Linked DNA regions of Callithrix jacchus. The protein of the gene in region 3 binds, or shares a complex with, the protein of the main gene of each other region. Links are inferred from orthologs where the notes say so. Each region holds a gene or a part of one and is shown on either strand. Other genes may lie near its edges. The genes, in order: ARID2, SMARCD3 and SMARCC2.

Region 1 (3,744 bases), about 34 Mb from region 3:
CTTTATTCCGATTTGTGAATGTTGCGTAGCGTGAGCTGCCCCGGTAAGCCTCCTTTCCCTCCAGAGCGCCACACCACTTTTGTTGGGCGGGCGGGGACTCCGAGGCGGCCCTTCCGACAGCCGGGCCAGGGACGCGAACATCGCCTCCACCCCTAACCCTGGAACAACCGGTAGTGGCCGTTCCCCCGCGCCGCCCCCCTTTCCGCCGGCTTTGTGTGCGTGTGAAATGTGCGGCACATTGCAGACGAACCCTAAGCTCGGCGAGCCGAGTCTATTGTTCCCCGCGAGGAGCTGCCGGGGCGGTGTGGAGCCAGGCGCAGTGCCGCGGCCGGCCTTTGGGGGTCGCTGTGCGGCACTAGCTGCCCGGCCGTGGCGGCGGCGCTGGCGGCGGCAGAGACCGAGGCTGACGAGGAGGGAAGCAGGCGGGCGGCGGGCGGCGCGCAGCGGCTCAGCTGCCGCCGGTGCTTCTGCCCGGGGACGCCCCGGCCTCAGCGGCCGAGGCCGCGCGTGAATGTGTGCGAGGGCTCCGCGGAGCCTGGGCCGAAATACACGCTGTCACCCCGCTTTCTACAAACCACACAGACCTCCCCCTCCCCACCCCCAGCCCCGCCTGCCCCAGGCCGGCCGCTGTCGCCGCCGCCGCCGAAACTCTAGGGCCTCCGGCCGCCCCGACCCCTCACCGTTGGCTCGCCTTGCCCCTCGCCCGCTCGCGCGCCCCCGGCAGCAGCACCATGTTGAATCGCGTACCCGGGCCAAGCCACCTCAGCCGGCGGCGCTGAGAGGCGGGCGAGAGCCGGGCCGCGGGGAGGGAGGGAGGGAAGGAAGGGGTGGGGGCCGCGCTCGCCCCGCGGCTTCGCGCGGATCCGGCAGTCGCCTGCCCCTCTAGTTTCGCTCCGATTTCTTTAAACTTTTTTAGAAATTCCCCTCCCTCGTTCCCTCCTCTCCCCCTGGCCTCCTGCTCCCTCCTTCCCCTCCTCCTCCTCCTCCTCCCCCTCCCGCCCTCCCTCCCTGCGCCGCCGCCGCCGCCGCCGCCGCCGCCGCCGCCGCCGCCACCGCCGGCCCGTGACTGAGCCCCGCCGCCGCCGGCCGAGGAATGGGCTCCGGGCTCTGGTAGGAAGCGCTGGGAGCGGGGGGCGCTTTTAAAACACCGATCTGGGTTTTTAAAAAACCTCCTTTGAAAAAATAATGGCAAACTCGACGGGGAAGGCGCCTCCGGACGAGCGGAGAAAGGGACTCGCTTTCCTGGACGAGCTGCGGCAGTTCCACCACAGCAGAGGGTGAGAGCAGAACCGGGGGGGCAACGCCGGGGCGAGCCGGGGCGAACGGGGCTCTCCCGCCCGGGCCGGGCGCGGGGTCCCGGCTGACAAGTGCGGGTCTTTCTCTCTCCCGCAGGTCGCCTTTTAAAAAAATCCCTGCGGTGGGTGGGAAGGAGCTGGATCTTCACGGTCTCTACACCAGAGTCACTACTTTAGGCGGATTCGCGAAGGTGAGTGGAAGTTTTAATTTGTATTTCCCTCTCACTGGCCTCCTCCAAAAAGTCTCCTTTGACCCCAGAGTGGGCGCTTGGGGCTGGGGGGGTGGCCCGCGGGGGCAAAAGGCGTTCTTTTCGCTCCCAGCCGGTGGCACGGAGGCGGACGGCGGCGGGGCTGTTTTTGGCCTGGTGGCTCGCGTGCGCGCGGCGGGCGCGGGGCTCCCGCGGGCTGGCGGCCCGGCGCCGGCTAGCGCCCTGCCCGGTGCCCAGTTGGGCCGGCGGGGTCTGAGCGCCGCGGCGGAGAGTGCGGGCGTGCGGGGCGCCAGCCGGAGCCCCGCGCCCGCACCGCCCGCTCGCTTGTTCGCTCGCTCGCTCGTCAGCTCTGCCGCCGCTGCCGCTCTAGCACAGGCTGAGACACAGAGACACACAGACTCAGAGCAGTTTTCGTGCAACTCAAAATTAGCGCGGGCAGGTTTAACATCGATAATCGGCTGCGAAATGATCCTGGCAGCCGGGGGCACAGCCTCGGCCCCGTCGCCCTCGGTTTATACAGCTAACAAAAGAAACCAGGACCTGTCTCCAAATAGCCATCTTAGGCTTCAAGGCTAGGCAGAAGCTGTAGGCCTCAAAGAAGGGCCTATGGAGATGGATAGATCTGGGAGAGGGATCGGAATCGGCCCCGGCCCCGGCCCCCCCAGAACCCGCGGACGTCGCTGTCCGGAACTGTATTGATCCTTTTGAACTTTTTTTTTTTTTTTTTTTAAGTGTAAACGGACCGCGTTGAGATTTAAAAGGGGGCGACAGAGGGACTTGCGATTGGTTATTGTCCCGGCTTCAAAAACAAAACAAACCCACCAATCCCCCCCAAACAAAACAAGTGGTATTAAATACAGGGCTGTCTGGTGAAAACAGTGATTCAAGACGCCCTTGCTTGCTTAGTAACTCTTACCTTACCGATCGATCAGAAACAACCATTGATGCCTTAGGTATCTACAGATCTCTGTAGAATGGGTATTTATTTCAGTTAGGTAAAGGTTTTTTTAGATTGTTCACTTTCAGACAAGTGTGCCTGTGTTTTACCAGGTCTCTGAGAAGAATCAGTGGGGAGAAATTGTTGAAGAGTTCAACTTTCCCAGAAGTTGTTCTAACGCTGCCTTTGCTTTAAAACAGTATTACTTGCGGTGAGTAGTAGTGACTTTTCCATAGTATTTGGAAATAAGGGACTTATGGAGAGATTTGTTTTTGGCAAAAACAAAAGCAAACCTTGCACACCAAACAGTTCTAAGCTCTTGTTCATTTTAGACTAAGACACATTTAATATAAATAAAGTGAGATTGTAGGAAGGTGCAAGTTTTTCTTACCAATTTTAGGATCGTTTACGTTTTTCATACAAAATCATTACAGGTGACACCCCACCCCCCATCTTGGTAAACATTCTTTTGTGACATTGTTATTGATCGCTTGATATCCACTGAATGGAAGAAAGGTGATGCTTAGTAAAAGAGTTAAGATAGTTAATGAAACTGTAATCTTTGGGAAAATTTTTTTTTCTTTGTTTTGGAAACTTCTTTGGTTTAAAAAATTCTGACTTTCAGATTTTATTTTTTAAATGAAACTTCTTGTTTGGAACAGTGACATTGAATAGGTTTTTCAGTAGAATATGAATGCATGGCATAACATGTTGGTGCCTTAGGTGACCAGGATTGTTTTGAGAATTACTTTTTGTTGAATTTCCAGTGACTTAAAAACGTTCAAAATGATTATTATATCTCTAGGAAAATGGGGATGCTATGAAGTGGGATACTATACTTTGGATTTTCTTTCATTCTCCCTCTTTCTTTTTTTTGACTGCTTATTTGACAAAGTTCTTATTCTGTTGGTATGCGATACAGTTTAGATGATATATTTTGTGATTTAGCGTTATTTTTTTGCTTCTAGTTTTTCTTCTAGGAATCCTTTCATATAATTTATCATGAGGCTGTGCATTATTTTTAATGTTTACTTTAGAGGATTCTAAGTTAGTTGGTATTATTTAAAACTAAAATGATATTTTTTGTATTTATTGCTTTTTATAGTGATAATAGAGGCCTTTTGTAATGTGGCTTCTGCATAATTTGAGTTTTGCATTTATTACTGTTTCAGATGCATTCAGTTATCATGTGTTACATTCAACATTCTGAAACAGGAAATGCAATAATTGCACAGGTGTACTTTCTATTGGCTATCTTAGATTGACTTCAGGCTTGAAGCTGGAGTTCACAGAACTTTGTGGA
Region 2 (3,744 bases), on a different chromosome or scaffold from region 3:
CATGGCCCTGCCCTCTCCTGGATTCTCGCAGTGAGCCCACGGCTCCATGTCCCAAAGCCCACAGGCTCCTCCCCCAGAAGGAGGAAAGAGGGGCGTGGCCTTTGGGGGACTCGGGAGGGCCAGGGCTCCCAGCCTGGGGATGTCAGGATTTGCCCCTCCTCCTTCTGGTCCCTCCTCCACTCCAGGGACTGCCAGCTCCTTCCACACGCCCCTTCTGGGGCTCCCTCGCCATCCCACCCCACACCACAGCTTCAAGACTCCTCTCTCTGGGGTATTGAGGCAGGCCCACCATACCCAGCCCAGCTGCCCCAACTCTTCTGGGTCCACCCCCATCCCAAGGAAACCAAGCCGGGCTTCCCTCGTTCCCTCCACGCACCCACCCCAGCACCCCCCTGGCGCCGCGCCATTCCCCACATTCGTTCTCTTCCTGTTCTCATGAGCACAATCCCTGTCCTTCTTTCCGAAATACTTCCCCTGTTGCCCTCACTTTCTCACAGAGCGACAAACAAAGACTCACATACCCAGAAATAGCCTCGCACAGAGCTGAAAGGCACAGGCCACGTCCTGCCACACACGCAGGCGCGCGCGCACGGAGGCTGTCGTGGAGGGAAGCACACAGACAGGGCGTCTGTCTGCATGCACAGAGCAGCCACGCCACAAAAGGGCGCGGACACACACTGCGTGCGAGACAAGGGCACACACAGCCGTGGACGCAGGGCCACGCCGCCGCCCGGGCACACCCACCGCCGCCGGCCCAGGGCAGGCGCGAGGCCTCGCTGCCGGGCTCCCCGGCTCCTGCTAGCCCGTGTTTCCCGGCTCGGCCTGCCAGGTCTCTGGGGAAAGGGCCTCAGAAATGCAGCAGGAGCCGCTGGGGGGAAAGTTGGAACTGACTGTTCCCGGCCTGGCGCGGCCGGCGAATTCCCTGACGGAGAAACTATTTGTGGCGAGAGCCGGTGGCCGGCGACCCCCCGCCGCCTCCCCTGGCGTCCCCTCCCCGCGCCGCCTCCCGCGGCCCTCGGCGGCCTCGGGCTGCAGCGCCGCTGCCCAGCGCCCGCCGCCGGGCTGGTCGGCGCGCCTCGCCGCTTATCTGCGCTGTTTGGACAGCGGGCTTGGAAAGGCAGGCGGCCCCGTCCCCGCCGAGTCAACAGGCAGACCCCGGGCCGCCGGACTATTTCTGGCTTATCAGTGCAGGAATGCGGCAGCCGCGGCGGCGGCGGCGGGCGGGCGGCGGCGGCGTGGGCCGTGGGCCGTCAGGGCAGCCCTGAAGGGGCCCCCTCCCCACTCCGCTCGAGTAGAAGTGTGAGAGAGCCCAGCAGGACTCAGAGGGGAGAGTTGGAGGAAAAAAAAAGGCAGAAAAGGGAAAGAAAGAGGAAGAGAGAGAGAGAGTGAGAGGAGCCGCTGAGCCCACCCCGATGGCCGCGGACGAAGTTGCCGGAGGGGCGCGCAAAGCCACGAAAAGCAAACTTTTTGAGTTTCTGGTCCATGGGGTGGTGAGTGGGGGAAAGTTAGCGGGGGAGGGCGAGTGAGCTGGCTCGGGCTGAATGGAGGGCTGATCGGGAGGGGCCGGGAGGGCGCTCCCGCTCTCCCACCCCTCTAGCGGGGGGCGCCACGGCCCACGGCCCGGCCCCGGGACCGTGCCGGCGCCCTGGCACCTGAACACGTCGCCAGGCGGCCGGCCGGGTCTGGCGCGAGGCGGGGAAGGGAGGCGTTTACATGGCTCTTGTCAGGGGTGGGGGTGGGACTTGGGGACTCTCCCCCCCCAAGTGGGGGGTCCTCGCTGTAGTGGACAGGTTGACTTCCGTTCTTTTCCTTGTGGGCCCAGGTGTTGCCCCTGCCCTCGGGGAGGGGGTGGGGGATGGGGATATGGCAGAGTCTGGGCTGGGCTGTCTCTTCATCCGTTGGGACAGTGTCACTGCTTGTGTCTCCAGAGCAAGGAGCAGGTGACCCTGGAGGCACTGTCGCGGGAAGCTCGCAGGCTGAGCGACTTCTGCATCCCAGCGGGAGGGCTCTGGAGCTTCTGCCTCGGGGTGGGGGAGAGGCCTGCTCTAGGGACTTACCCCAAGTTACGGACTCTGAGGGTCCCCTTGGCGGCTCAGCCACCAGAAGCTGATGTCCTAAACTCCTGGAAGGTGTGAAGGAAGGGCTGGAATTGGGGACGTGAGGCCTAGAGACTGAAGGGTTAGGGGAGTACTGTCCTGCCACAGGCAGGCTGCAAAGGCACGTGGGAGCCCAGGAGGCTGCAGCTGAGTCAGTAGGCCCCACTGGGAGGGGTATGGAGGGGTGTGGAATGGGAGAGGCAGGGGCTGCGGCTCTTGGGATGGATGAGGGGGTGGAGGCCCTATGTAGAGGAAGCAGTTGGGTTTACTATGGCCAAATTTGGTTGTGACCTCAAGGAAGGCACCTTCTCAGTAAGGCCAGAGTCCCTAGGATTTTGGCCTTTCGTGGGGGTGGAGCTGGTGGCTGGGACAGCTCTCGGGGGCTCTGGAAGCCTCCCTCTCAAGGCCTCTTCAGCACATGAGCCAGTGTCCCTGGCCTTGATAACTGGGGAGAGCAGCTGACAGGGAGAGGGGCCTCCAGCCCCAGGGACCCCTGGGTGTAACTTCCCAAGGTGTCCATGTCAGCCAGCTGCGTTACCAGTCCTAACCTGGCTGCTGGTGGGAGCCTCTTTAAAATGGCCCATCTAGTGGGGAGAGAGGCTGTACACGTGAACTTTTTTTTCATCTGGTCAACTTAGAGCTTCAGTTCTTGGGTGGCTGTGAGCCCCAGTGCCCCACCTATGCTGGCGGCCCGGTCTGGCTCCATTCTGGGCTGCTACCCTGAAGGCGTGAGTGACAGGGTCAGGTGGGGTAAGGGAAGCAGACACATGGACAGGCAGGTTTCACTGCAGGAGAGACAGGCAGAGACAGCTGCTGACGGAGGTGGGAGGACATTAGGGCTAGACACAGAGCCTGGAGGGCCAGGAGGGAGGTGGCAGTTGGAAGGGAAACAGCAAGCTGGGGGGCGGTGGGCCCTCTTCGCACCTGGGGGTGAGGTGGGTGGTGTGTCGGTGTTAACAGGCTCAGGGTCTGCATCCCCTGCTCCCTTATCTATTTCCTGTTCCCGAGGTCCCCGTCCCCATCCCACCCCACTCGTTCTGTTTCACAGCCCCGAAAAACTCTCTATGGCCCTCCCCATCTCCCTTCTGGAGTCTGGACAAGTGGGGTTTGGAACACTTCACTGGATGCATTTGCATCTCATTTACACCCCATCTGACCACCCAGGGGTAGTGGCAAGGGAGGAGGAGCTGCCTCCTCTCAGTCTCCACAGCCCCCTCTGAACCCTGACTCCTGACCTGGCTGGGGTGGGGGTAGGAAGAGGAGGAGGGGGCTGCTGACCTGGGCAGACAGGAAGGGAAATGTGAATGGAAATGTCACTGCCCTGACCTACCCCAGGGCCCCTGGGCAGCCCACCTCTAACTCAGCTTCCGTCCTCCCAATCGGAATCCTGGCGGGGTCTGGGACACCCCAGCAGGTTGCCCTTGCCTGCCTCCAGCCCTCACTCTGGGAGCAAATATGGGGGCAGCTTCATCAGCGAAGATCCCGGGTGTGGAGACTTGGAGCCAGCCGAGGAGAGTGGGGTTTGGGACCCAAGGGTCAAAAGCAGGGAAATAGGGAGCAGAGTGGCTGAGATGAGCTGGTGAGTGCCAGGCAGAACCGCCCAAGAAGTGGAGCCTGAGGAGGAGGTGCAGGAGGAGGAACAGAAGTT
Region 3 (3,644 bases):
CCTGGGATCAAGCAATTCTCCTACCTCAGCCTCCTAAGTAGCTGGGATTATAGGCATCCACCATCATGCCTGGCTAATTTTTGTATTTTTAGTAGAGATGGGGTTTTACTATGTTGGCCAGGCTGGTCTTGAACTCCTGACCTCAGGTGATCCACCCACCTCGGCCTCCCAAAGTGCTGGGATTACAGGTGTAAGCCACCATGCCTGGCCATGCTCAAATGTATTTTACTATCGAAAGCACATAATCGGAGTTTGGAGACAACTACTACCAGGCACAAAGCACAGTCCACAACCCAGATATGGATATAAACTTAGAGGATTTTCCATGGTAACAAATATAATTCTAATAACCAACTAAATTTAAGGAAAAGATCCTGTAGACTGTGAGGCAGACCTGAGAAATCAGCTCACTCAGGGTTTAGCAAAGGAGAGTCAGGACAGGGAGTGGGGCTGGATCCCAGGAGCTCAGCCTGTCCTGTACCTGTTTTGGGAAGTGTCACCTCTTCTACATTGGGGACTGGTGAGGGCTCGTCCATGTCCTTTGTCAGGTCTTCTTGCTCCTCTTCTCTGTGACCACGCTTTGACTTAGTGTAAGGTGTTGAGGGACTGGGAAGGAAAGACAGTGAAAGAGAACCCAGTCATCCTTGGACAAGAGTCCCTGGCAGTTGAAGTTCAAGGGAAGGGAAGTGACAGAGAATCCCAAGGGTAGAGTTGAGTACAAACAGAAACCAGTAATTACAGAGTAATGGGAAATGGCAAAGGCTTTTCATTTGATAAAGCTCTCTTTAAGTTTATGAGTGGGGCCAGGACCAGAACTAACAACTATGCAGCTAAAAATCTCCTCATCTTCCCTCTCAGGACACCTGTAGTATTATAAGGCACACCCAGGTCAGGGCCAGGTGGTTAAAGGAAGGGATTTGGCTTTCCTTCCTTCAACATGATACGGAGAGAATGGTGAACTCAGGGGCAGGCTAGGGGCTGGCACACCCTTTCTTAGCATTTTTCTTCTTTGCTTCTGGGGTTGGTGAAGGAGAGGGGGAGCGCTTCCTCTTCTTATAGTTTCCCCCCTTCTTGTCCCGTCGATCTGAATCTGGGCTGTTCACCTATAGGATGGAGAATCAGGACAAATGTCAGCATACAATCCCCAGTGAAGACTTTTTCTGAGACTTATGCTAAGGGCGCCTGGAAAAAAGAACAGGGTTTGTCACCTCATCTGTCAATGTCTTGGCTGAAATCTTCTTTCGGCGGGAGACAGGGTTTTTGTCATCATTTACTTCATAGTCTTCCTCATTCATCCATTCATTGAAGGTGTCAGTGTCCAGGATCCACTTTGCATGAACCTAAAGTACGAAGGCAGATCATGCCGCAGAGAAGCTCTGTCTGCGGAACCTTAACAGAAAAAGTCCAAGGACACAGGAGCCTCTGTTTCACTTCCAAAGAGTAGACTGGTCCTGGCATTCTTTTTTGGGAAGCGGGGGTACAAGAAAAACTCACCTTCCTAGGTTTCTCAGGAGTTGGAGCATCTTCCACAGATGCTTCAATTTCACTCGCTGGGATCCATGTGTCATAACTGCCGTGGGAAATTGGGCATACAGTAGAATCAATGAGATGGAGTTGTGGAAAAGTAAAGTGCAGATCTTTTACCCTTTTAATTTGCAGAAAGTATTGGGTTGTTGGCTTATTTTTTTGGTATTCTATTCATATAAAGTAATAAAAGCCCATTACAAAACACTTCAAAAATAGAGAATGAAAAGAATCGCCCTTACATAACTACTCTTGACACTTGTATATATATTTTTCACAGTAATTTTTTTTTTTTTTTTTTTGAGATGGAGTCTCGCTGTCACTCTGTTGCCCAGGCTGGAGTGCAATGGGGTGATCTCAGATCACTGCAACCCCTGCCTCCTGTCTTCAAGCAATTCTCCTGCCTCAGCCTCCTGAGTAGCTGGGATTACAGGTACCCACCACTGTGCCCAACTAATTTCTGTATTTTTAGAAGAGAAGGGGTTTCACCATCTTGGCCTGGCTAGTCTCAAACTCTTCCACCCGCCTCAGCCTCCCAAACTGCTGGGATTACAGGCATGAGCCACCACGCTGGGCCGGAGTTTTTGTTTTTGTTGAGACAGGGTCTCACTTTGTTGTCTAGGCTGGTCTTGAACTTCTGGCCTTTAGTGATCCCCCTGCCTTGCCCTCCCAAACTGCTAGGATTACAGAGTGAGCTACTGTGCCTGGTCCACAATTTTGTTTTTACATAGTTATAATCACATTGATGATATTTTACATGCTACTTTTTTTTTTTTTTTTTTTGAGACAGGGTCTTGCTCTGTTACCCAGGCTGAAGTGCAGTGGTGCAATCATGGCTCAACGCAGACTCAACTTCCTGGGCTCAAGCAATCTTCCAGCCTCAGCCCCCCCAAAAAGTTAGGACTACAAGTGCATGCCACCACACCCAGCTAATTTCTGTATTTTTTTTTTTGGAAACACAAGAATTTTGCCCAGATTGGTGTCAAACTCCTGGATTTAAACAACCTGCCTGCCGCAGCCTCCCCAAGTGCTGGGATTATAGACGTGAGCCACGGCACCCATCCTACATATTAGAGGGATGAGCCATGGCACCCAGCCTACATGTTTTGTTTTGTTTTGTTGAGACAGAGTCTTGCTCTGTCACCCAGGCTGGAGTGCAGTGGCGAGATCTCAGCTCACTGCAACCTCCCCTGCTCAGGTTCAACTGATTGAAGTGATTCTCCTGCCTCAGCCTCCCAAGTAGCTGGAGCTACAGGGACGCGCCATCACACCTGCCTAATTGTTTTTTTTTTGGTGTTGCTGTATTTTCAGTACAGATGGGGTTTCACCATGTTGCCCAGCCTGGTCTTGAACTCCTGACTTCAGGTGATCTGCCTGCCTCGGCCTCTCAACATGCTGGGACTACAGGTGTGAGACACCACGCCAGGCCTACATGCTACTTTTTGCAATGAATAATAACATTCACCTATAAATTATCCATGTTATTTCATATCACTTTAAAGGTTGCATAATAGCCCACTGAGTAGATATACAAATTTACTGAAACATTTTCCTACTGTTAGACATTTAGACTATTTCTAAGATTTACACTGGGATAATCATTTCATACAAAAAGCCTCAATCCTTTTAGGCTAAGCCTTGTCCAATAAGTCCAAACCTCCCCCAAGACAGAGGTTCACTTAATAGGGGAGAGGAGAACCAATTAAGTGACCTAAAAATAACTCTGAAAGAGTGGCTTCTTGCTTTGCTAGATATTCTAGGGCTTCTGGGTCTGGCTCTTATACTTAAACCTGCTCCAGGAACCCATCCTCACCTGTCAGGATAGTAGCCCCAGTGCAGAAGAACCTGCTTATCCCTCTTCATGACTGGTCGTACCCATTCCTCTGGGGATAGAGGCAGAGAAGGGAGAGAGATAAGCTAAAGAGGGACACAAAAAAATACTGTACATAAGCCCTAACTAAAGTGCTCTGCTGTTGTAGCAAGGGACTTGGTAACAGGAACTTAAGGAGGTAGGAGGATTCAAGATTGAAAGAGGAGCCCAGATACTGAATGGTAATCTTAGTCCTCTGCCTCCTACTCCAAGCCATCCATTCAAATTGCCAGAAAAAAACCAGGTCTCA

The links.
Region 1: SMARCC2 (region 3) and ARID2 share a complex: the UniProt entries of both Homo sapiens proteins name them as parts of the SWI/SNF-B (PBAF) chromatin remodeling complex. The link is inferred for Callithrix jacchus from reciprocal best matches to the Homo sapiens genes SMARCC2 and ARID2.
Region 2: SMARCC2 (region 3) and SMARCD3 share a complex: the UniProt entries of both Homo sapiens proteins name them as parts of the BAF complex. The link is inferred for Callithrix jacchus from reciprocal best matches to the Homo sapiens genes SMARCC2 and SMARCD3.

What each region holds. Positions count from the first base shown.
Region 1 is NC_133510.1:29,645,338-29,649,081, reverse strand, and holds the start of ARID2 (AT-rich interactive domain-containing protein 2), read left to right. Parts: upstream 1-1,057; 5' UTR 1,058-1,185; coding exon 1,186-1,277; intron 1,278-1,392; coding exon 1,393-1,486; intron 1,487-1,654; exon of another isoform or gene 1,655-2,457; intron 2,458-2,554; coding exon 2,555-2,652; intron 2,653-3,744. UniProt on the Homo sapiens protein: Involved in transcriptional activation and repression of select genes by chromatin remodeling (alteration of DNA-nucleosome topology). Required for the stability of the SWI/SNF chromatin remodeling complex SWI/SNF-B (PBAF).
Region 2 is NC_133512.1:96,964,450-96,968,193, forward strand, and holds the start of SMARCD3 (SWI/SNF-related matrix-associated actin-dependent regulator of chromatin subfamily D member 3), read left to right. Parts: upstream 1-1,001; 5' UTR 1,002-1,412; coding exon 1,413-1,490; intron 1,491-3,744. Other genes in the region: uncharacterized protein LOC144578411, read right to left, coding at 522-638. UniProt on the Homo sapiens protein: Involved in transcriptional activation and repression of select genes by chromatin remodeling (alteration of DNA-nucleosome topology).
Region 3 is NC_133510.1:63,481,763-63,485,406, reverse strand, and holds part of SMARCC2 (SWI/SNF complex subunit SMARCC2), read right to left. Parts: intron 3,408-3,644; coding exon 3,338-3,407; intron 1,571-3,337; coding exon 1,495-1,570; intron 1,341-1,494; coding exon 1,209-1,340; intron 1,104-1,208; coding exon 988-1,103; intron 607-987; coding exon 482-606; intron 1-481. UniProt on the Homo sapiens protein: Involved in transcriptional activation and repression of select genes by chromatin remodeling (alteration of DNA-nucleosome topology).